5 linked regions of the Callithrix jacchus genome follow. The main gene of each other region encodes a partner of the protein of the gene in region 5 in a complex. Links are inferred from orthologs where the notes say so. Each region holds a gene or a part of one and is shown on either strand. Other genes may lie near its edges.

Region 1 (4,252 bases), on a different chromosome or scaffold from region 5:
ACTGACAATATCTAACTTGTGGGGCTGTGATAATTAAATCATACAATACTTGAAAGTGCTTAAGCTGTGCTTAGTTAATCTGAGTAGGTTTCAGAAAAAGATAGTCATATTGAAGGAAGTGACTAGTGCAAGTCTCCCCACCATCCTTACCCAAAAGTGGCCATCTCTAATAAATGCTTCTATTAAAAATATAGGACACACTTATTTATGACTTTCCAAACGGCTTGTTAAATAAACAAATAACACTGAGCTTTATTTGAAGGTTCCAGCCAGGTGCAGTAGTAGCTCATGCCTATAATCCCAATATTTTGGGAGGCCAAGGCGGGAGGATCACTTGAGGCCAAAAATTCAACATCAACCTAGGCAACACAGCCAAACACTGTCTCTATTAAAAAAATTAAAAAATTAACTGGGTGCCGTCCAGTGCGGTGGCTCACCCCTGTAATCTCAGCAATTTGGGAGGCTGAGGTGGGCGGATCACAAGGTCAGGAGTTCGGGACCAGCCTAGCCAACATGGTGAAACCCCATCTCTACTAAAAATACAAAAATTAGCCACAGGTGGTGGCGGGCACCTATAATCCCAGCTACTCGGGAGGCTAAGGCAGGAGAATTGCTCAAACCCAGGAGGCAGAGGTTGTAATGAGCTGAGACTGCACCATTGCACTCCAGCCTGGGCAACAGAGACTGTCTCAAAAAAAAAAAAAAAATTAGCTGGGTGTGGTGGCTCATGCCTATAGTCCCACCTACCTGGGAGGCTGACACAGGAGGAGTGCTTGAGCCCAAGAATATAGGTTGCAGCAAACCATGATGATGCCACTGTACTCCAATCTGGGCAACAGAACAAGACCCTGTCTCAAAAATAGAAAAATAAAAAAAAAGATTTCCTCACTATTAAGTGACATTCACTATATTGATGTCAATACATTAACAACATTCAATAAAAACTGGGCCAGGCACAGTGGCTCACGCCTATATCCCAGCACTTTGGGAGGCTGATGGTGGTGGCAGGAGTTCAAGACAGCCTGACCAACATGGCAATACCCCATCTCTACTGAAAATACAAAAATTAGCCGGGCGTTGCAACACACACCTGTAATTCCAGCTACTCCGTAGGCTGAGGCAGAAGAATCATTTGAACCAGGAAGGCAGAGATTGCAGTGAGCCGAGATCTTGCCACTGCACTCCAGCCTGGGTGACTCTGTCTCAAAAACAAACAAAACTGGAGGAGGGGGCAAGGTGACTCATGCCTGTAATCTCAGCACTTTGGGAGGCCAAGGTGGGAGGGGATCGCTTGCACCTAGGAGTTTGAGACCAGCCTGGGCAATATAGTGAGACCCTGTCTCTACAAAAAATTTAAAAATTAACAGGGCATGGTGGTACATGCCTGTAGTTCAAGCTGCTCACGAGGTATAGGTGGGAAGATTGCTTGAGACAGAAGTTGAGGGTGCATGGCCAAGACTGAGCCACTGCACTTCAGCCTGGGTGACAGAGACCCTGCCTTAAAAAAAAAAATTTCCTCCTGAGCTTGAAGATAAAGCAAACATTCTAGAAGCATTTATTTAAGGCACATTAACCAAGCATCTCATTTGCTACATATAGCAGGGTACTGTATTAAAATTATGATCTAACTAACCATTGCCTCACTGTGATCTAAGTCTCTTTGAAACTTAGCTTCTTTAAATGTAAAATAGGAGTTTTTAAGAGATGATCTTTTGGGACCCTTCCATCACTGACACTCTTTAATTTGAGACGCAGAGTTCTGTGATCATTCAGGGTTGAGTGGAATGGGATTTAAAGCACTTACTAAGTATATAACTGAGTTTCAACTGTTTTCAACTTCACATCTGATTCCCAAGAATGAAGCAGAAAATGAAGATGTTTGCATGTGGGCTTCCTAGATTGAGTATCTGACACAAGAAAAGCCTGCCAAGAGCCAAAAAGGCAGTGCGAAGGAGAAGTTGTCTTCCCCTGATATGTCCTTTATCCCTCTGGGTTCAGAGAATACGAGAAAAAAATGGATCACTGAATCTTTTCCAAGCCCTTTCCCTTTACTTTGTAGGCTGATCTCACATCCATGGTCCCTTAGATCCAAGGCTTTTAGGAGCTCTGGTGCTCACAGCCCTGTTCTGAGACTCAGGAACTCGGAGTCTCAAAGCCCGGATCCCATCCCCACAGAAGCTCCAGCCTTCACTGTCCGCTTCTGTTCCCTTCCAAACTCAAGTTTTCGCTGTCTGCTTCTGCCCCTCAGGAACCTAAGTCTTCGCTGCCCCGTTTCTGAATCCTTAGGAGCCCGGGTCTTCACTGTCCCGCTTCTGCCTCTTAGGAGCCCAAGTCCTCACCGCTCCACTTTTACCACTCCGGAGCCCGTCTTCACGCCCCATTCACTTACGACCCTCTCCTCTTAGGAGTGCCGGTTCTCATAATCCTGTTCCTCTCAGACCGCTTTCCCTCAGATGCTGGAGAACTCACATCCATTCCCGTTCCCTAAGTCCCATCTAGAGCCCGGGTCCCCAGAGCCGCGTCTTCTCCGAGCCCGATCCTCTCAGTAGGTCCCTTCCCGAGAACCTGAATCCTCACAGCCCCATCTCGTTCACAACCTGGACCTTCGAACACTGACCTACTGTAGGTCTGGGTCCTGACTCCCTCCTCCCGCTCTTGTTCCTCAACTGCCAGGGCCCAAGACTCACAGGCAGCAGCGTCTATCTCCCCATGATATGCGGAGACTGCCCCAATGTAGCGTTCGTCTCAGCAGCCGGTCCGACTGCGCGGCCCTCCCCGACTACTTCCGGCACCGCTCCCCGCCTCCAACCCGGAAACGCGCGGCTCTTCCGGCAGGCGGGCGCGCGCCTCGCTAGCGCAGGCGCAGACTGCCCTCCGACACGTGGTGGCTGTATTGGGCTGTATGTAGCTAGACTCTGCAGCTTGCGGTTTTAACTGCTTGTGATTGAGTGGCAACGTGAGTGAGCTCTGCGTATTCCACCCCAGCGTTAAGAATCCTTCACTAGCTTCTCTAACTGACCCTGCTTATTTATCTATCGGTAGCAGGACGGGTAATTGACGCCCTCAGATGGCTTTGAGGTCGCCATTTTTGGTTGTTGTCTTTGTCATGGTGTCAGGACCGGGATATCATCTGGGACACATTACCCTATAGATATCCTGTTGGACCTCAACGAGGAAGTTGGCAGCACAAGAACTGGGAGACGAGAGAAATCGGTTGGTTGTGCTTGTGAACTATCAATTCAACAATACAGTTGAATGCTTACTGTTTGCCAGGAATTATGCTAATCCGCTTACCTCCTCCGTTACGACATTTAATCAGAGGAGACCTGTGAGTGATTAAGAAAAGTTCTAGCTAATAAGTGCAGAGCCTCAGCTTGAACTCAGAACTCACTCCTACGCCAGAGCCTGTCCTGTAGCAATCTCTAGTGCTTTCAGTTTTTCAGTTGTCAAATGCTTGGTGAGAACTGCTGTATTTTTTTTACTTGTTGCCAGACTGGAATGTTAGGCATGCAAGCATGCCTCACAATTCCAGCATCTGTGAGGTTCACAGTAAGTCGGAGAAGAACCCACAAACACCAAAAAATTTATAAAGAGCTGTGACAGCCCAGAGTAAGCCACAGTATCTGCCAGCAGGAATCACAAAGAGCTGCCCAAATTGGTGCGGCATCCTCCCCTGTCTTTATATCTTCCGAATCATCCTACCACACTCCCAATCCACGCTCTTCACTGCCACCCAATCCAAATTCTCAGATTCAAGTCCTCATGAACATTGGGCTCCAAGCTGTATTCCTAGCCTTATTTCCCTGCCACTGCTCTCCATTCTTTTTAGGGTCTGGCATTCCACTTTTTGTTATTGAACACCTATACCTCTTTTTTAAGACCCAGATTGAATCATTTGACAAGTGTTTATTGAGTCTTGTGTGCCAAGCCTTTTGCTATGTCCTGAGTACATAACTGGTGTCTAAGACGGATGATATCCTGGTTCTTAAAAAGTTTGCAACCTGGGCTGTGCGCAGTTCTGTAATCCCAGCACTCTGGGAGGCCGAGGCAGGCAGATCACAAGGTCAGTAGTTTGAGACCAGCCTGGCCAATATGGTGAAGCCCAGTCTCTACTAAAAATACAAAAAAAAATTAGTCAGGCCTGGTGGCGCATGCCTGTAATCCCAGCTACTCAGGAAGTGAAGACAGAATTGTTTAAACCCAGGAGGCAGAGGTTACAATAAGCCATGATCGCACCACTGCACTCCAGTCC
Region 2 (4,077 bases), on a different chromosome or scaffold from region 5:
ATTGTACATTCTTATTTTCAAAATTTGTTTTATTTTCTAATGTGGCAAATACACATATACAAAAGCTACTTGGGGTCCTCAATGTTTATTAATAGAAAAGGATTCTGAGAGCTGGGCATGGTAGCACATGCCTGTAATCCCAGCTATGTGAGAGGCTTGGGCCCAGAAGTTTGAGGCCAGCCTGGGCAACATAGCAAGACCCCATCTCTAAAAGAATAAATAAATATAGTTCTGAGGCTGAAATGTTTGAGATCACTGCTTTAGGGAAACATTTGGTATGTAAAAGTGCCTGACATCAGCTGCAGAGAGCCACCTTGCCCAAGATCACCCTTCCTGGGGTAGCCCACATCAGTGTTTGATCAAATCCTGAGTATAAAGGCAGAGCCCTTTCAGCTTGATGGGCAATAATGCTCCAGGGGTCCTGGCTGAGTTGTCCATTCTTTGTTGGGCCTGCACTGCACTCCACATCTCCCTCTCCCCAAACCTTTCTCCTACTTCCTTTCATAGTTGTTGATCCCTAAGAAACACTGTAAATACTTCCATCCCTCATCAGATCCCATCCCCCAAAAGTTCAAAACAGGGAAATATGTTGTACATGCAGAATAGCCTATGTGAGACAATGTTGGGCTTCTAAATCTCAACACGTTGCTTTTAAAAGCAGCTTTTTGGCCAGGCGCAGTGGCTCATGCCTGTAATCTCAGCACTTTGGGAGTCTAAGGTGGACAGATCACCTGAGGTCAGGAGTTCGAGACCAGCCTGGCCAACATGGTGAAACACCATCTTTACTAAAAATACAAAAATGAGTTGGGCATGGTGGTGCACGCCTGTGATCCCAGCTACTCAGGAGGCTGAGGCAGGAGAACTGCTTGAACCCAGGAGTGGGAGGCTACGGTGAACTGACTGAGATTGTGCCACTGCGCCCCAGCCTGGGCAACAGACTCCGTCTCAAAAAAAAAAAAAAAAAAAAAAGTGGCTTTATCCCTTGTTCTTTGTATTACATAATCTAGCATTTGATTACATAATGTGATGTTATCTATTGCATAAGGAATTAGTCCTGACTCCCCAACAAAAGTCTTTAAGGGCATCCACAACTCACTAAGAGCTTACAATCTCCCCAGCATTGAATGTTTTATATACACATCTCACACTCACAACTCCATGAGGTACAAAGTGTTATCCCATTTCAAAAATGAGGAAATTGAGGTTCAGGAGGTTCAGTGGCTTGCCCAAGCTATTAAGTGACAGAGTGATGATGTACACTCAGGTCTATCTGATTCTGAAGCCTGTAAGTCACTTCATTATGCTCTTCTTTCTTTCTTTCTTTCGTTGTTTTTGGAGATGGAGTCTTGCTCTATTGCCAGGCTGGAGTGCAGTGCCATAATCTCGGCTCACTGCAACCTCCACCTCCCAGATTCAAGTGATTCTCCTGCCTTAGTCTCCTGAGTAGCTGGGATTAAGGCACCCAACTAACACCATGTTCAGCTAATTTTTAATTTTTATTATTTTTTATTAGAGATGAGGTTTCGCCATCTTGGCCAGGCTGGTCTTGAACTCCTGACCTCAGGTGACCCACCTGCCTTGGCCTCCCAAAATGCCGGGATTACAGGTGTGTGCCACCACGCCAGGCCCATTATGCTTTTTTCTTTTTTCAACTTTTTACATTAAAAACATTTTTTTTCTCCCCTCTTAAGAAAAAAGTTGATCTTCTTTTTCTTAAATCCTCTCAAACACGATCGTAAAGCAGGGCACAAAACTGATGCTGGGGTTGATTGGAAAAAGGACTAATGTTTCCACGGACTCACAGCTCTGCAGCATCTCTGTCAATGTTTCCACGGATGCTTTCTCAGCACTCTCAAACCCGGCCTCTGTCAGCAAGGAGCTCACAACCACTTGCAGGGTTCTCCTCCGGGCCAGATGATAGTTATCGGCAGGGTTAGTGGACTGTTTACTTCCCGATCTCTGTGAATCAGCAGCCCAGAGAGATTTTCATCCAGGAGAAGGATGCAATCACAGAGTTCACACATGGTCAGTGGCAAGGCAAAAGTGCTTTTACTAAATACTTTTATTTTAAAAATCGGTGCTTAACGTTTAGATTTACAGATCTTGGCCAACTGAGTAATAATTGAGCACCCAAGGTGCTTTAAATACAGAGACTACTCTTCTGCCTACCTAAAACGTACGGTCCCAATAAGATAAAATAGTAGGACTTTTATCTTCTACTTTAGCATACCATTAGAATATATAGCTGGAGAAACACGCATGATGGGATTGAATAGATCTGTCCCCCCAGAAAAAACAGGATCCCTCTCTTGTGCCCCCCATCTTCACACCATTTCATTGAAAGGGAAATTGAAAACATAATAAGAGGTGACGGCGAGGAGAGAAGAGCAAAAGATAACAGCACGAAAATGTAAGAAAGCTAAATATTTTGAAAAGGGAATCCCTTTCAACTTTGGCCGGCCAATAAGAAAGCGAAAACGGCATTTTCAGACCAATCAGGGGGTATTCCGGGTTCCCAACCCCCAACAGCAAACGAGCCAATCAAGACACAGGTCCGCCAACTCCGGAGGCCGCAGCCAAGTCCCAGGGAGGGGGGTGCGTAAGGCCTGAAAGACCCTCCGCCAATAGGACCTCATGGTGGGGCTGGATTTCTGGGGATTCGCTTGTGGCTCAGTCTAGGGGAAAGCTTCAGAATACCCAAACTCTTTCGGCTCCAGCACGCGCCTCCTGCCCTTACCGTTCCGGAGCCGCCGGCCCCAGCTGTGGCCGCCGCGTCGGCCATCTTGCTCTGGCGTAGTGTGCGCGAGCGCAGGGCGGGATGGGACTTGTAGTCGCGGGGCGGGGCGGGGTGGTATGCGCCCCTCTAGGTTTTGCGAAGCTCGGTGGGTTACTGGACGCCGCCGGTAACCCCGGCTCACGTGACTTTTTTTTTTTTTTTGGCGGGGGTTGGGGTTGGGAGACAGGACAGAGATTCTGTCTCCTAGGCTAGAGGGTGCAATGGCGCGATCTTGGCCCACTGCAACCTCCACCTCACCGGCTCAAGCGATCCTCGCGCCTCAGCCTCCGGAGTAGCTGGGATTACAGGCGGGGACCAACATGCCCAGCTAATTTTTGTATTTTTAGTAGAGACCGGGTTTCTCCATGTTGGCCAGGCTTGTCTAAGATTCCTGGGCTCAAGCAATCCGCGGCCTCGGCCTCCCAAAGTCCTGGGATTACAGGCGTGAGACACCAAGCCTGCCTCACGTGACCTTTTGAGAGCGAAGTGTTCAGGGCCTTCAGTGGCTTGGTTGTGGACAGTGAAAACAAGCTCTCTATTTCACTGAGTTAAAAGAAATCTTTTAATATGAAAATCATTTCTTAAAAAGAGTACACTCCTGGAAGGACCCAGGAGGTCATCTACACCCGCAGGGTTTTATAAACTTGTCTGATTATTGGCAACACCTGACCGTGCCCAGCCAATTCCCAGTGACTTAACTCTCTGGAAGAGGGGCTTGGAATCTTTCTTATTAAGGAGATCCCCAGGTGATTCTCCTGAGTGGTTAATGTTGGGAAACCCTGGAGCATCCAGCCTCATTATATTGTGCTGAGGGCCGCTCAGCCTGTCAATCAATGGCCCGCTTGGAAGTAGAGCCTGGACCACCTAGTCCAAGTCTATGGCTGCATCCTGCTGCCTTCGCGCCCTCGACCCGCAAGTATTTGCAGGGCGAGCCTGTGGCTGTTGGGGGGGGGGTTGTTCCTTGCCGCCTCACTCCCAGGGTGTGGGGTGCCCACGGCTGCCCTTGCTTGTCAGCCCCTCTGGCTGCGCCGTATTCGTTCCCATTTGCAGGTACCTGGAAGGACGAAGACGCTGGGCTTGGATCCTAACACTAGACAGCTATGGGACTTCGGGCACTTGACCTTATCCTCAGTGTGCCTTAGTTTCCTCTTCTGTGAAATCGGGGTAAAAATGAGATGATACACAGAAAGGGTATGTTATGGTGCCTGACGTGTATTAACAGTCAAGAAATCAGCCGGGCGTGGTGGCTCACACCTCTAATCCCAGCACTCTAGTAAGGCCCAGGCGGGTGGATCACCTGA
Region 3 (4,155 bases), on a different chromosome or scaffold from region 5:
CTATCGCTACTAAAAATACAAAAATTAGATGGGTATGGTGGCGGACGCCTATAATTGCAGCTACTAGGGAGGTTGAGGCAGGAGAATCACTTGAACCCGAGAGGCAGAGGTTGCAGTGAGCAAAGATCATGTCACTGTACTCCAGCCTGGGTGACAGAGCAAGACTCCTTCTCAAAAAAAAAAAAAAGAAAAAAGAAAAAGAAGATAAAATCCTTTTAATGTCCTACAAAGCCCTTCAAAATTTGCCTTCTCCCATTACATCTCTGACTGCCTTTCCTTCCTGCTTCCACTTTGATCCAGACACATATTCCTTCAGGCTGCCCCTTCAACTTGCCAGGCATACTCTTGTCTAATAGCCTTTACTCCATTCCCTCTGCCTGGAATGTTCTTCCAGAATGCCTGATTGCCTGTCTGCCCTGACCACCCTATTTAACTCTGCACTCTGCCCTCAGAGTGGGAGCAGCCCACTTTTTCTTTTCTTTTTTTGAATGAATGCCACTTTTTCTTTTCTATAGCATTTAACATCTGGGTTGGGTGCAATGGCTCACGCCTGTAATCCCAGCACTTTGAAAGGCCAAGGCGGGTAGATCACAAGGTCAAGAGATTGACACCATCCTGGCCAACATGGTGAAACCCTGTCTCTACTAAAAATATGAAAATTAGCTGGGCGTGGTGGCATGTGCCTATAGTCCCAGCTACTTGGGAGGCTGAGGCAGGAGAATCACTTGAACCCAGGAGGCAGAGGTTGCAGTGAGCCACTGTACTCCAGCCTGGCAACAAAGTGAGACTCCATCTCAAAAAAACAAAAAAACCTTCTAATTCGTTGTATCGTTTCTTATTGTTTATTACCCCCACCACACACCATATAGACAGGGCTCTTTATTTGCTTTTTATTTTTTTGAGATGGAATTCACTCCTGTTGCCTAGGCTGGAGTGCAGTGGTGCGATCTTGGCTCACTGCAACCTCTGCCTTCCGGGTTCAAGCGATTCTCCTGCCTCAGCCTCCCAAGTGGCTGGTATTACAGGCATGTGCCAGCACAGCAGGCTAATTTTCCTATTTTCTTTTTTTTTTGAGACAGAGTCTTGCTCTGTCGCCAGGCGCCAGGTTGGAGTGCAGTGGCGCAATCTCGGCTCACTGCAACCTCTGCCTCGTGGGTTCAAGTGATTCTCCTGCCTCAGCCTCCCGAGTAGCTGGGATTACAGGCATGAGCCACCGTGCTCGGCCTAATTTTTGTATTTTTAGTATAGATGGGGTTTCGCCATGTTCCTCAGGCTGGTCTCGAACTCCTGACCTCTGGTGATCCGCCTGCCTCGGCCTCCCAAAGTGCTGGGATTACAGGCGTGAGCCATCATGCCCAGCTGACAGGGCACTTTATTATGTTCACTAATGTATTCCAGGATCCCAGCCTGGGACATCATAAATATTTGTTAAGTAGATGAATTAGTTGTAAGGTTTAGAGATGTTGGTACTCGGTAACTACTAGTTATTGCTGTTATTAAGAAAATATGTCACAGGTCCAAACTTCGAGCCTACACTGCAGTTAAAAGCAAAGTAGACCAGGTGCAGTGGCTCACGCCTGCAATTTGGGAGGCCGAGGTGGGAAGATCACCAGAGGTCAGGAGTTCAAGACCACCCTGGTCAACGTGGCAAGATCCCATTTTTTTGTAAAATCACAAAAATTAGCAGAACATGGGGGTGGCCACCTGTAGTCCCAGCTACTTGGGAGGCTGAGGTGGGAGAACCATTTGAACCCAGGAGGTAGAGGTTACAGTGAACCGAGATCATGTCACTGCACTCCAGCCTGGGCGCCTGAGGGAGACTCCAGTCTTAAAAAAACAACAAAATGGAGCCAAGCAAGGTAGCTCACTCCAGTAATCCCAGCACTTTGGGAGACAGAGGAAGGTGGATCACTTGAGGATGGGAGTTTGAAACAGCTTGCTTAACATAGTGAGACCCCCATCTCTGCAAAAAATTGAAAAATTAGCCTGGCATGGTGGACCTGTCATCCCAGCTACTTAAGAGGCTGAGGTGGGAGGATCACTTGAGCCTAGGAGTTCCATAGCAGCGTGGGCAACAGACAGAAACCCTGTCTCAAGGAAAAAAAAAAAAAAGTCAAGTGGCACACTGGAGCTGGACATTAGGAAGATTAACATCAATACTGTTCAGGAATAGTACAGGTGGTAGGGTGGGGCTGTGCTGGAAGGATGGGAAGAGGGAGGCCGAAGAAGAAACTGGTTCTTTTCAAACCATCCCTGGTCTCCTCCCCAACTTTTTAAAGTCTTATCTATAGGGAACACAATTATTCGAGACATACTCTGTGCCTGGCGCCGCGTTTATAAGAGGCGGTCGTGTCCCACTTCCCTGGCGAACTCTTACGAATCCTTCAATACCCGGCGGTACCCTCTGTCAGTAAAGGCTCATAAAACACGCTACAGTCACAGGATCTCCTCAGATCAGTGGAGGCGGCAGGAAGGCGTCCCAGGGGAGGATTAACTTGAGCGGGATCCCAGCAGAGAAGCAGGTCGAAAATCCCCGGGGAGCGCGAAAGGAGGCTCAGAGAGCCCACCTCATCTCCTGCAACATCTCTCCAATGCAGACACACACACGGGGTCCCCACGAGCACGGACACACAACCAACCGTCTTGTTTCTAGTCCCCACAAGGGACCTTCAAAGGGTCTCCTCCAGAGTACCACTCAGACCCGCCCCCGCCAGCCGAACGCTGGGAGCAGGAAAACTCTGGCCGCCGCCAAGACGCCGCTCACCCGGCGCTGGGCGCCATCTTGGCCCCGCCCCCTCCTAGGAGCAGGTCCTGGCAGAGCGGAAGTCCAAATCGCTACCGCTTCCCCGTGCCAGAATACGTTCTCTGGACTCACGGAATGAAATTATATTTTAAAATTTTGTTTAAACATCTACATATAAGAAGAATTCCGTCTTGGTTGAATTACTGCAAATTATTCCTTCACTACCCGGCTGCCAGGACCTTGAAGAGGCGCCACAAAACGGAGGCGGAGAAACTCAGAGCAATGAGGCCCCGCCCCCTACCGAGCTGATTCTGCTCGTGCGCCGACCTTGCCAGGCTGGATTTAAGGTTGCCGCCAGCCGCCTGGGCATTTAAAGGACCCACTGCCTTCCCGAAGTTGGTTTGAAAGCAAGCGATGGTTGTTTGTGGATGGCGCTTTGTCATGGGACCTATGTGGTTGGGAATATTGCTTTTCCTTTTGGCCGTGCACGGGGCTTGGGCTGGGAAGCCGAAGGAAGAGGACGATGACACAGAACGTTTGCCCAGCAAATGCGAAGGTATCTGAAGGGGGTAGCCCCTGTTGGCATCGCCCGGCCACACCTCCTTCTTCTAGGCCGGACCTCTTGGACTGTATTGGGTGGGTCACCTGAACTCCTTGAAAGCTTGAGGGAGGTTCTGGTGGAGCTTGGCTGAATTTGAATGGATGGGGTCAAGGAAGCAAACGTGTAGTGCCGCCCCAAAGCTATGGCACTGCACTTCCCAGGAGGCATTCAAAGAGAGCCTGCATTTTTTTGGTTGACTTGGACCCCCCCGCCCCCCCCCAATGGATTGTGGGAATTGTAGTTCAGGGACCATTGGCCCTGGACTGCCAACTTTAGAGCATCTTCAGTGCGTGTTTCCCGTCACCAGACCTTAATCTGCAGAGGCTGCAGGAGCTCTGTGAGGCTCAGGCCTTGTGGACATCTGCTGCCCCACCCTAGCATAGACGCTCCCAAATTACAGGCCCCACGACCCCTGACGGGGTTTGAGGGTGAGTAATTCTGCCCTTCAAGCTCAAAAACAACAGGAGGCCACACGACTAGGGGAGGTTCCCCATCCGGGTGAGACTTTGCAGACGGTGTGTACTATGTGGATTTTTCAGCAAGCAGCACTTTCCGTAGCTGCACTAGTGTGGGGCCCAGTTGAGAAAGGGGGCACTTCAGAGCTGGCCCTGATCCCCTAGTTTGCTGCCCTCCTGACTTCACGTTTCTTCCCTGGATTCTTGAGGGAAGAAACGTAAAGTCAGGAAAGGTGGTCATGATACTCTCATGACGTAGTCCTCATCTCTGTCTCTTTTCACCTCCGTGTCCCACTCTTCTCCCCTGACCTGTCAGCCTTTTTAAACACAGACTTAATCACCTAATTGTATCAGTC
Region 4 (4,215 bases), on a different chromosome or scaffold from region 5:
ACTTCATACCTCCACCGTGGACCCAACTGTGTTGTTTGGTCACATTGGAATGACCATCACACCTTGTCTCTTCAACTAGACCATAAGCTACTGAAGACCAGAAAGCCCATTTTAACCATCTCTGTTTTGCAGGATACAGCATAGCGCCTGGCACACAAGGCTCAGGGAATGTTTATGCTGTGAATAAAGTAATCAGAATAGTGAATAAATAATATCTGAAGTGCTTACTTAGTGCCTGGTATTGGGCTGCGCTTTTGTAAAAATTCTCTTTCAATCTTCATGAAAGCCCTAAGGTAGGTCCTATTATTCACCCCACTTTGCAGATAGGGAAACTGATACTCAGAGATGAGGCAGCTTTCCCAGAGTCACATAGCTAGGAAATAGCAATGCCAGCAAGTGCTTATGCCAGGATTCAAATCCAGGTCTCCCTATTCCAGTTCCCTAGTACTCCTTACCACAACACCACAAGTATGTACCTGACTTTCTCCCTTTCCTAGTTGGCAAGCTCCAACTAGGAGCTAGCATAGGACCCAGAACATAATGGGGGATGGGGTGTCAATAAAAGCTTAGTGAATTAGAAATCTTGCAATTTAAGAGGATCATGCATAGTCCTTTTGTGTCATGCAAGCCCAGTTTGGGTCTCTCCCCGTCTCCCCACAAACCCCTGTATCCCAGGTCTCAGCATATGGGGCTAACTCAATGACCCATCCCATAACTTGTTGCAGTCCATCTCTGGTGACCGACCCTCTCTGGGCTATCACCTGGGTTTCGGCCTCAAGCACACGCAGGCGCCGGCTGGCAGAAGACAGCAGGGTCTCAAGCTCCAGCTGCAGGGTGTCCAGCTCCTCAATGCCGATGCCATCGTCCTCAGAGCGTGCCAGCACTGCCGTGTAGCGGGGACAGACCTTCAGGTGATCCACAGACTTGAAATCGTGGAACTGCAAGGGGCAGTCTTTCAACTCACTCATGGCCCAGGATATGGGGATCCTGTGGAGCTGGAGAGGACAGAGCCATTGATGGGGGACAAAATAGTTTGAAAACAAGGGCTTCTTACCTCCAGGGACAGCCTCAAGGAAGCCAGAGTTCAGTCCCTTCCTGACAAGATTGATGGCACAGTTCCTACTCATAGGGCACTTAACTTGTGCCAAGCTAGGTGCAGAGCACTTTATCAGTCTATCTCACTGAACTTCTCGCTCAGCACCATGAACCACTGTGATCTCATTTTTACAGAGAAGGAAACTGAGACTCTGTAAGGGTGGGCATGTGCCTATGCTTCCAAGATGCAATTTGAACCCTGCTAGTCTTGAGTCTGCACCCCTGATCACCATGCTATACTGCTATGCCTTGCCTTTCTGATGCTCTTTCCTTCCCTTCTTTTTCTCTTGGGTTCTGCTAAGACTGAGTTCCAAGCACCCCATTCTTACCAAGTTCTCTGGGACTCAGCCTCTTCTTGCCTCTTCTTGTCCTACCACACTCCACATTTCCCATTTCTCTAGTCACTCACTAATAGTGGTTTAGAACGTGGGCTGGTAAGCCAGACAGACCTGGGTTCAAGCCCAGGCTTTAACATTCTCTATTTATGTGCCCCTGAACATGTTATTTGACCTTTTTTTTTTTTGAGACGGAGTTTCGCTCTTGTTGCCCAGGCTGCAGTGCAATGGCATGATCTTGGGTTACCGCAGCCTCCGCCTCCCGGGTTCAAGCGATTCTCCTGCCTCAGCCTCCCGAGTAGCTGGGATTACAGGCATGCACCACCACACCCGGCTAATTTGTATTTTTAGTAGAGACGGGGTTTCTCCATGTTGGCCTGGATGGTCTCGAGCTCCCAACCTCAGGTGATCCGCCCGCCTCAGCCTCCCAAAGTGCTGGGATTACAGGAGTGAGCCACCGTGCCCGGCCTATTTGATCTTTTTGAGTCTCAGTTTTTCCATCTGTAAAATGGGAACAAAAGAAGTCTTGGTCTGTTTCCCCATTAAAAGTCTGAATCTGAAAAATGGGGATAACAACAGTACCTACCTCCCTGGGATGGTCTGAGGATTAAGAGATGATGCCAGTCAAGAGCCCAGTTCAGTGCCTGGCACAGAAGAAGTGGGACTATTTAATGGCTGGCACCGCCCGGGGGTCGCCCCAGTGTCTTGACTTCAGAGTCCCTGTTATCCACGGACACCTAGCGCGACCCCCGCCCCCTCTACCTCCTCACTGCTGCCTCCTACGGCCCCGAGGCCGCGGGGAGTTCCGGTCGGTGGGAGCAACCGCCCCGGAACTGGCTATGGGCGGGCCCCTTGCAGTTGACGCGGGGGCGGGGAGTCAGCGAGGGCGAGCCTACTGGGATTTGAGGGAAGTAGGGAAAAGGTGGGCCTCGAGCAAGCCCACTAGGGGTTGGGTGCGGGTGGTGGGCCTCAGGCGAGCCCCAGGGCACAGCCCGGGGCGAGGGGCGGGGCTTGGCGGCTGAGATCGCGGCGCCGCAGTTAGCCCCGCCGAACCCCAGGAGCTGCGGGTAGGAGGGGCGAGAGAAAGGATGGGGGCACAGAACCGGAAGAAACGAAGGGCTCCTCCGCTTCAGCTTGTCCTAATTTGGTGCCCAACCTGAGGCTGGGCTGTACCATTGCATGTCTAGGGGGAGGCTGTGGCAAAGGAGACAAGAAGGCAGAAGGGACAAGCGAGAGATGCACGCATACCTGGAGAATCTTGAGTAGTAAACCGTGTACAAGAGTTTAAAAATACCGAGAGAGCCCTAACCGGAAAACTTCCGGGAGGCCCAAGCGTTCTAGGCGCTCCATACCCCGCTCAGAGCATGGATGGTACCGTCCGGAAGTCGGGCGGAGACCTCTGCTGCGCTTCTCGCGAAAGGGCAGGCATCGCGGGGCTGGCCGCTTCCGCACTTCCGCTTTCCGGCCCATCCAGCGCCCGCGATGGTGAGAGAGCCCGGTCCCGAGTTAGGGACCCCCAGCTGTTCAGCCTCAGGGCTGTGGGCCGGTGGGAGATGTGGCTTTGCCGTGGGGGCCCAGGGCCGATGGATGCCGGGGGCTGTGGGGACACGATGAGGGTGGGAGAAAGAGGCGGGGCGGGAGCCCGAGGTGAGGAAGGGGTGAGTGGGGGTATTCGCTGGTATGAAGCGGGCCTTGCTGCTTCACGATCAGCCTTCGAAGCAGGTAGCGACTTTTCCTGAGCCCTGGAGGAAGCCGGAAGTGGGGCCTCCTAGGGCTTGTTGGAGCGTTTTGAGGGTACGTAGTCGGCTTCTTAGCCCGTCGTAGGGCCGCTGAGGCGTGTAGCAAGGCCACCTGCCTATCCACAATGGAGCGTCACTAAACACGCCCTTTGTCCTCTTCTGCCTTCCTGACCCTACAGTTGCTCAAGGCAGGCGGCCACACTTCTTCTGGATGTACCAAGAGTGGGAGAACCACTGTTGGTACCTCCAGCCCAGCTTCCACCCCATTGGAGGATCTCTCGTGTTGCTTCCACTCAGGCCCTTCCTAGTCAGAACAGAACTGTGTCAGCCTTAGTGTTTGCTAGCTGTCATACTGTTCATTCCTTCCTTCCTGGAAGTCTTCCCTTTTCATACATGTGGGCATTCCTGGGATTTGTGACTTTGGATCACCACCTCCCTCTTCGCCACACCCTCCCTGGTGATACTGATCTAGTCTCTTGGCTTCGAAGACCTTTGCATTCTGGTGACTCCTAATCTGGCTTCCCAACTCTCTTTCAGGGTTTGTCTGGATATTTTGAAGCTATATTGAAATTAGATCTCTAGTTCAAAACTCATCTTCCATTCTAAACTTGCTCTTCACCCTGGGTTCCCTATCCTAGCAAACTTTGTGACCTCGTATCTCAGCTAGAAATCTGGATTTTTTTTTTCCTAATGGAGCACAGGTCTCTTGATTTTTAAAAATTCAAGTTTATTGAGGTATTACATGAAACTACATCTGTTTTATTCATGAAGGGACAGGCGTCATGGAGCCAGTCACCCTTTTTAGGTTTACTGTCTATAAGTGTTGACAAAATCTTGCTGGATATGGTGGCATGTGCCTGTAGTGCCAGCTATCAGGAGGCTGAGGCAGGAGGATTGTTTGAGCCGAGAAGTTTGAGGCTGTAGTACACTGTGATCACTCCTGTGAATAGCTACTGCACTTCATCCTGAGCAATATAGAAAGACCCCGTGTTTAAAAAAAAAAAGAAAGCCATGCTGTGTAACCACTACTACAACCAAAATATAGA
Region 5 (3,500 bases):
GGCGGTATGATCTCAGCATTTGAGAAGAAACTGAGGTTCAGAACAGATCATTTGCTACAGTGCACACTGCTACTCAGCGTGGGAACCAGGATTGAAACAGTTTTGTCCACTATGCCACAGTGTTTCACAAAAATGAAGACTATGAGCCAGGCAGGTGGCTCACACCTGTAGTCCCAGAACTTTGGGAGGCCAAGGCAGGCAGATTGCTTGAGCCCAGGAGTTCGAGACCAGCCTGGGCAACATGGAGAAACCCTGTCTCCACAAAAAATAAAAAATTAGCCAGTGTTGTTTCACACACCTATAGTCCTAGGTACTCAGGAGGCTAAGGTGGGAGGATTACTTGAGCCCAGGGATTGGAGTCTGCAGCAGGCCATGATCACACCACTGCATTCCAGCCTAGGCAACAGACTCCATCTCAAAAAACTTTTTTAAAAAAACTATGGAAATATGAAAATAATTTAAAATGTATTGCTTTAAATGATATAGTTAGTAAAAAGGTTTCTTTCAGGCCGGGTTTGGAGACAGGAACATAGCTTGAATCTGGGAGGTGGAGGTTGCAGTGAGCCACCTATAATTCCAGCATTTTGGGAGGTGAAACAGGTGGATCACTTGAGGTCAGGAGTCAGTTCAGCCTGGCCAACATGGTGAAACCCCATCTCTACTAAAAATACAAAAATTATCTGGGCATGGTGGTGGGCACCTGTAATCCCAGCTACTGGGGAGCTGGGAAAGCTGAGGCAGGACAATCACTCAAACCTGGGAGGTGGAGGTTGCAGTGAGCCAAGAAGATTGCACCACTGCAGTAGGTAACAAGGCGACACTTGGGTGACAAGGCGAGATTCTGTCTCAAAAAAAAAAAAAATTTTTTTTTCAAATAAAATCCTGATCTTGTTTGTTCTTTTTTTAGCCATTTTTTATGGCTAAAACAGGAAGTGCCATCCCTTATTTAAAGATTTTACAAGATTTACAAGCAAACAATCATAAAATATTAGATTTTTAACTTTAACTTTATTAGCCCAATACCCTAATTCTACAGATGAGAAAACAAGGCCCAAAGAAATTAAACCAGTCTAGTAACCCAGCCACTCCAGAGCTTTTTTCACTGTTGGGAATGTTAGAATCTTGAGTTAAAGTAAAATTAAGTGAATTTCCGCAAAGATCACAATCTCCTGTGTATTTTCGGTGGAATCAAGATTAGTATAGACTAATGGCAAGTTCACATTCCAAAAGGTCATTTCAGTACCTGATGCTTGTTTGACACTACGAAGCTTTTTGGGTGTTACAGACCACACTCTGACAGTTGAATCTGCAAAACCTCCAGCAATCAGACTAGAATCATCAGTGACATCCACTGCAGTGAGACCCTGCCAATAAAAGTTTTAGACTAAACAATACTATTTTAGGGCATTTAGAGTACAGGAGAGGAAGCAAATGTTAATCATTTTCACACTCTACTAAATATACCCTCAACCCCCATTTTAAGGAATATATTTGTAAAATTCTTGATTTAAAATATTAAGTTTGGCCAGGCACAGTGGCTCATACCTGTAATCCCAGCACTTTGGGAGGCTGAGACAGGTGGACTGCCTGAGCTCAGGAGTTCTAAACCAGCCTGGTCAACATGGCGAAACCCCATCTCTACTAAAAATACAAAAATTAGCTGGACATGGTGGCTCATGCCTGTAATCCGCTATTCAGGAGGCTGAGGCAGGAAAATCACTTAAACAGGGAGGCAGAGGTTGCAGTGAGCCAAGATCGTGCCAGTGTACTCCAGCCTGGGTGTCAGAGGAGATGCCATCTTAAAAAAATACAATCAAATTAAAATATAAAATAAAGTTTACATGGCTGGGCACAGTGGCTCATGCCTGTAATCACAGCACTTTTGGAAGTCCAGGCGGGCAGATCACTTGAGGTCAAAAGTTCAAGACCAGCCTGGGCAACATGGCAAAATCCTGTCTCTACTAAAAATGCAAAACTTTAGCTGGGCATGGTGGCAGGCACCTGTAATCCCAGCTATTCGGGAGGCTGAGGCTGAGGCACGAGAATCACTTGAACCCAGGAGGTGGAAGTTCTGTCTTAAAAAAAATTGATAAATAAGTTTACGTAATTACTTAAACCAAGCTCAAAAGAGATGAACCACAATTTCCTCCTCCTCAAAGGCAAGCGGAATTCTGATCAGTGCAACAAATGCCATTAAACACTGGCTTCTATCTATTCTGTGCAGTATCCAATTCTCTTTTCCTGACTGCTGTCTTTAAATTATATCAAGAGTTTAAATAACAAAACTTCATTTTAGTTAACACATTTATTTCTCTTAATGGTAAATCTCCAGATGACTCTCCAGGTAGAAATCGTCCAATTATTTTACCAACCTGATAAGCATTGAGAAATGTATAGAAACAAATGGAGGGTAAGCAGTCTGGCCCAAGGCGCACTCGTTTGGTGGTTTCTTTCATATTCATTATCTTATCCAACTTATCTGAATCTTTCAACTCAGGAAGAGGGATTCTGTGAAAGAAAAACAGATTCAAAATTACCTTTTGACTATTAACAAACATGAACTCTCTATAACATGTCTTATACCTCCACACACAAGTTCCTGAAGTTTTTTCCTCACCTGTTCTGAGGTGGAGCATTGGGATCTTGTTTTTTGCTTTTGGATCCAATACTATCTTTTTTAGGCTTCTTCTTTTTAGGTTTTCCTTCTTCATTTTCTCCCTCTTCATCCTCGTCATCCAAAGGTACCTCAATTTCTGGCTCTTTTAACAAACCAAAAAATACCTACAAGTCAAAAGAGCCAACATTTTTTAAATTAACTATTTGTTCATTAATATACCCATTTCACATCTTGATAGGATAAATCACAATTACAAAATAGTAATTTATACTCTGAAGCAGGGTTCTGTACTTGTCTACCCAACAGCCATTCACCCCTTTTTCCTTACTAACAGAACCCTGATTTTATTGGAGTAGCAATGTGCTCAGTTAAGTCATTTCTGTTCCCAGGCTCCCTTGCAGCTAGGAATGTCCATATAAGTATATTGGGTACGGTTGTATGAAAAAAATATTGTTTTCCTGATAAAAAATGGAAAGCTTCATCAGAGCTACGCTTTTTGTCCTCCCCCTTCTTCCTTCTTGGAACGGAGCTGCAATGCTGAAACCACAATGACTGGTGAGCACAAAGAAGAAAGCCACATTCTAAAGGTGGTAGACCAGAAACTAGAAGGAGCCAGGGACCTTGATGGCATTGTGGAGCCTTCATGCCAGCCCTGGAAGGCCTTCCTCTGAAATTCATTTTATGGGAGAAAAATTCTTTGTTTCAGCCACTGCATTCAGAGTTCTATAAAATGCAACCATACCCAAATTATCACATATAAACATCACCCTCAGAACACAAAATTTTATATACAGTATAAAACTGTTCCCAAGCTAGCTATAAGAAAAATGTGTAAATTATGTAGATGGAAATGCTACAATTTTTCATAATCTGCATTATAGAG

What was found. The genes of interacting proteins can lie anywhere in the genome.
Region 1: TAF5 (region 5) and TAF12 share a complex: the UniProt entries of both Homo sapiens proteins name them as parts of the TFIID basal transcription factor complex. The link is inferred for Callithrix jacchus from reciprocal best matches to the Homo sapiens genes TAF5 and TAF12.
Region 2: TAF5 (region 5) and TAF8 share a complex: the UniProt entries of both Homo sapiens proteins name them as parts of the TFIID basal transcription factor complex. The link is inferred for Callithrix jacchus from reciprocal best matches to the Homo sapiens genes TAF5 and TAF8.
Region 3: TAF5 (region 5) and TAF6 share a complex: the UniProt entries of both Homo sapiens proteins name them as parts of the TFIID basal transcription factor complex. The link is inferred for Callithrix jacchus from reciprocal best matches to the Homo sapiens genes TAF5 and TAF6.
Region 4: TAF5 (region 5) and TADA3 share a complex: the UniProt entries of both Homo sapiens proteins name them as parts of the TFTC-HAT complex. The link is inferred for Callithrix jacchus from reciprocal best matches to the Homo sapiens genes TAF5 and TADA3.

What each region holds. Positions count from the first base shown.
Region 1 is NC_133508.1:65,310,759-65,315,010, forward strand, and holds the start of TAF12 (transcription initiation factor TFIID subunit 12), read right to left. Parts: upstream 2,801-4,252; 5' UTR 2,618-2,800; intron 2,335-2,617; exon of another isoform or gene 1,805-2,334; intron 1,199-1,804; exon of another isoform or gene 1,091-1,198; intron 849-1,090; exon of another isoform or gene 744-848; intron 1-743. UniProt on the Homo sapiens protein: The TFIID basal transcription factor complex plays a major role in the initiation of RNA polymerase II (Pol II)-dependent transcription.
Region 2 is NC_133505.1:50,549,702-50,553,778, reverse strand, and holds the start of TAF8 (transcription initiation factor TFIID subunit 8), read right to left. Parts: upstream 2,801-4,077; 5' UTR 2,783-2,800; coding exon 2,738-2,782; intron 1,960-2,737; coding exon 1,803-1,959; intron 1-1,802. UniProt on the Homo sapiens protein: The TFIID basal transcription factor complex plays a major role in the initiation of RNA polymerase II (Pol II)-dependent transcription.
Region 3 is NC_133503.1:13,465,391-13,469,545, reverse strand, and holds the start of TAF6 (transcription initiation factor TFIID subunit 6), read right to left. Parts: upstream 2,801-4,155; 5' UTR 2,316-2,800; intron 1-2,315. Other genes in the region: CNPY4 (protein canopy homolog 4), read left to right, coding at 3,267-3,299. UniProt on the Homo sapiens protein: The TFIID basal transcription factor complex plays a major role in the initiation of RNA polymerase II (Pol II)-dependent transcription.
Region 4 is NC_133516.1:66,954,079-66,958,293, forward strand, and holds the start of TADA3 (transcriptional adapter 3), read right to left. Parts: upstream 2,801-4,215; 5' UTR 2,679-2,800; intron 2,580-2,678; exon of another isoform or gene 2,534-2,579; intron 2,521-2,533; exon of another isoform or gene 2,017-2,520; intron 996-2,016; 5' UTR 969-995; coding exon 762-968; intron 1-761. Other genes in the region: ARPC4 (actin-related protein 2/3 complex subunit 4), read left to right, coding at 3,111-3,224. UniProt on the Homo sapiens protein: Functions as a component of the PCAF complex. The PCAF complex is capable of efficiently acetylating histones in a nucleosomal context. The PCAF complex could be considered as the human version of the yeast SAGA complex.
Region 5 is NC_133513.1:96,365,799-96,369,298, reverse strand, and holds part of TAF5 (transcription initiation factor TFIID subunit 5), read right to left. Parts: intron 2,782-3,500; coding exon 2,618-2,781; intron 2,509-2,617; coding exon 2,373-2,508; intron 1,365-2,372; coding exon 1,244-1,364; intron 1-1,243. UniProt on the Homo sapiens protein: The TFIID basal transcription factor complex plays a major role in the initiation of RNA polymerase II (Pol II)-dependent transcription.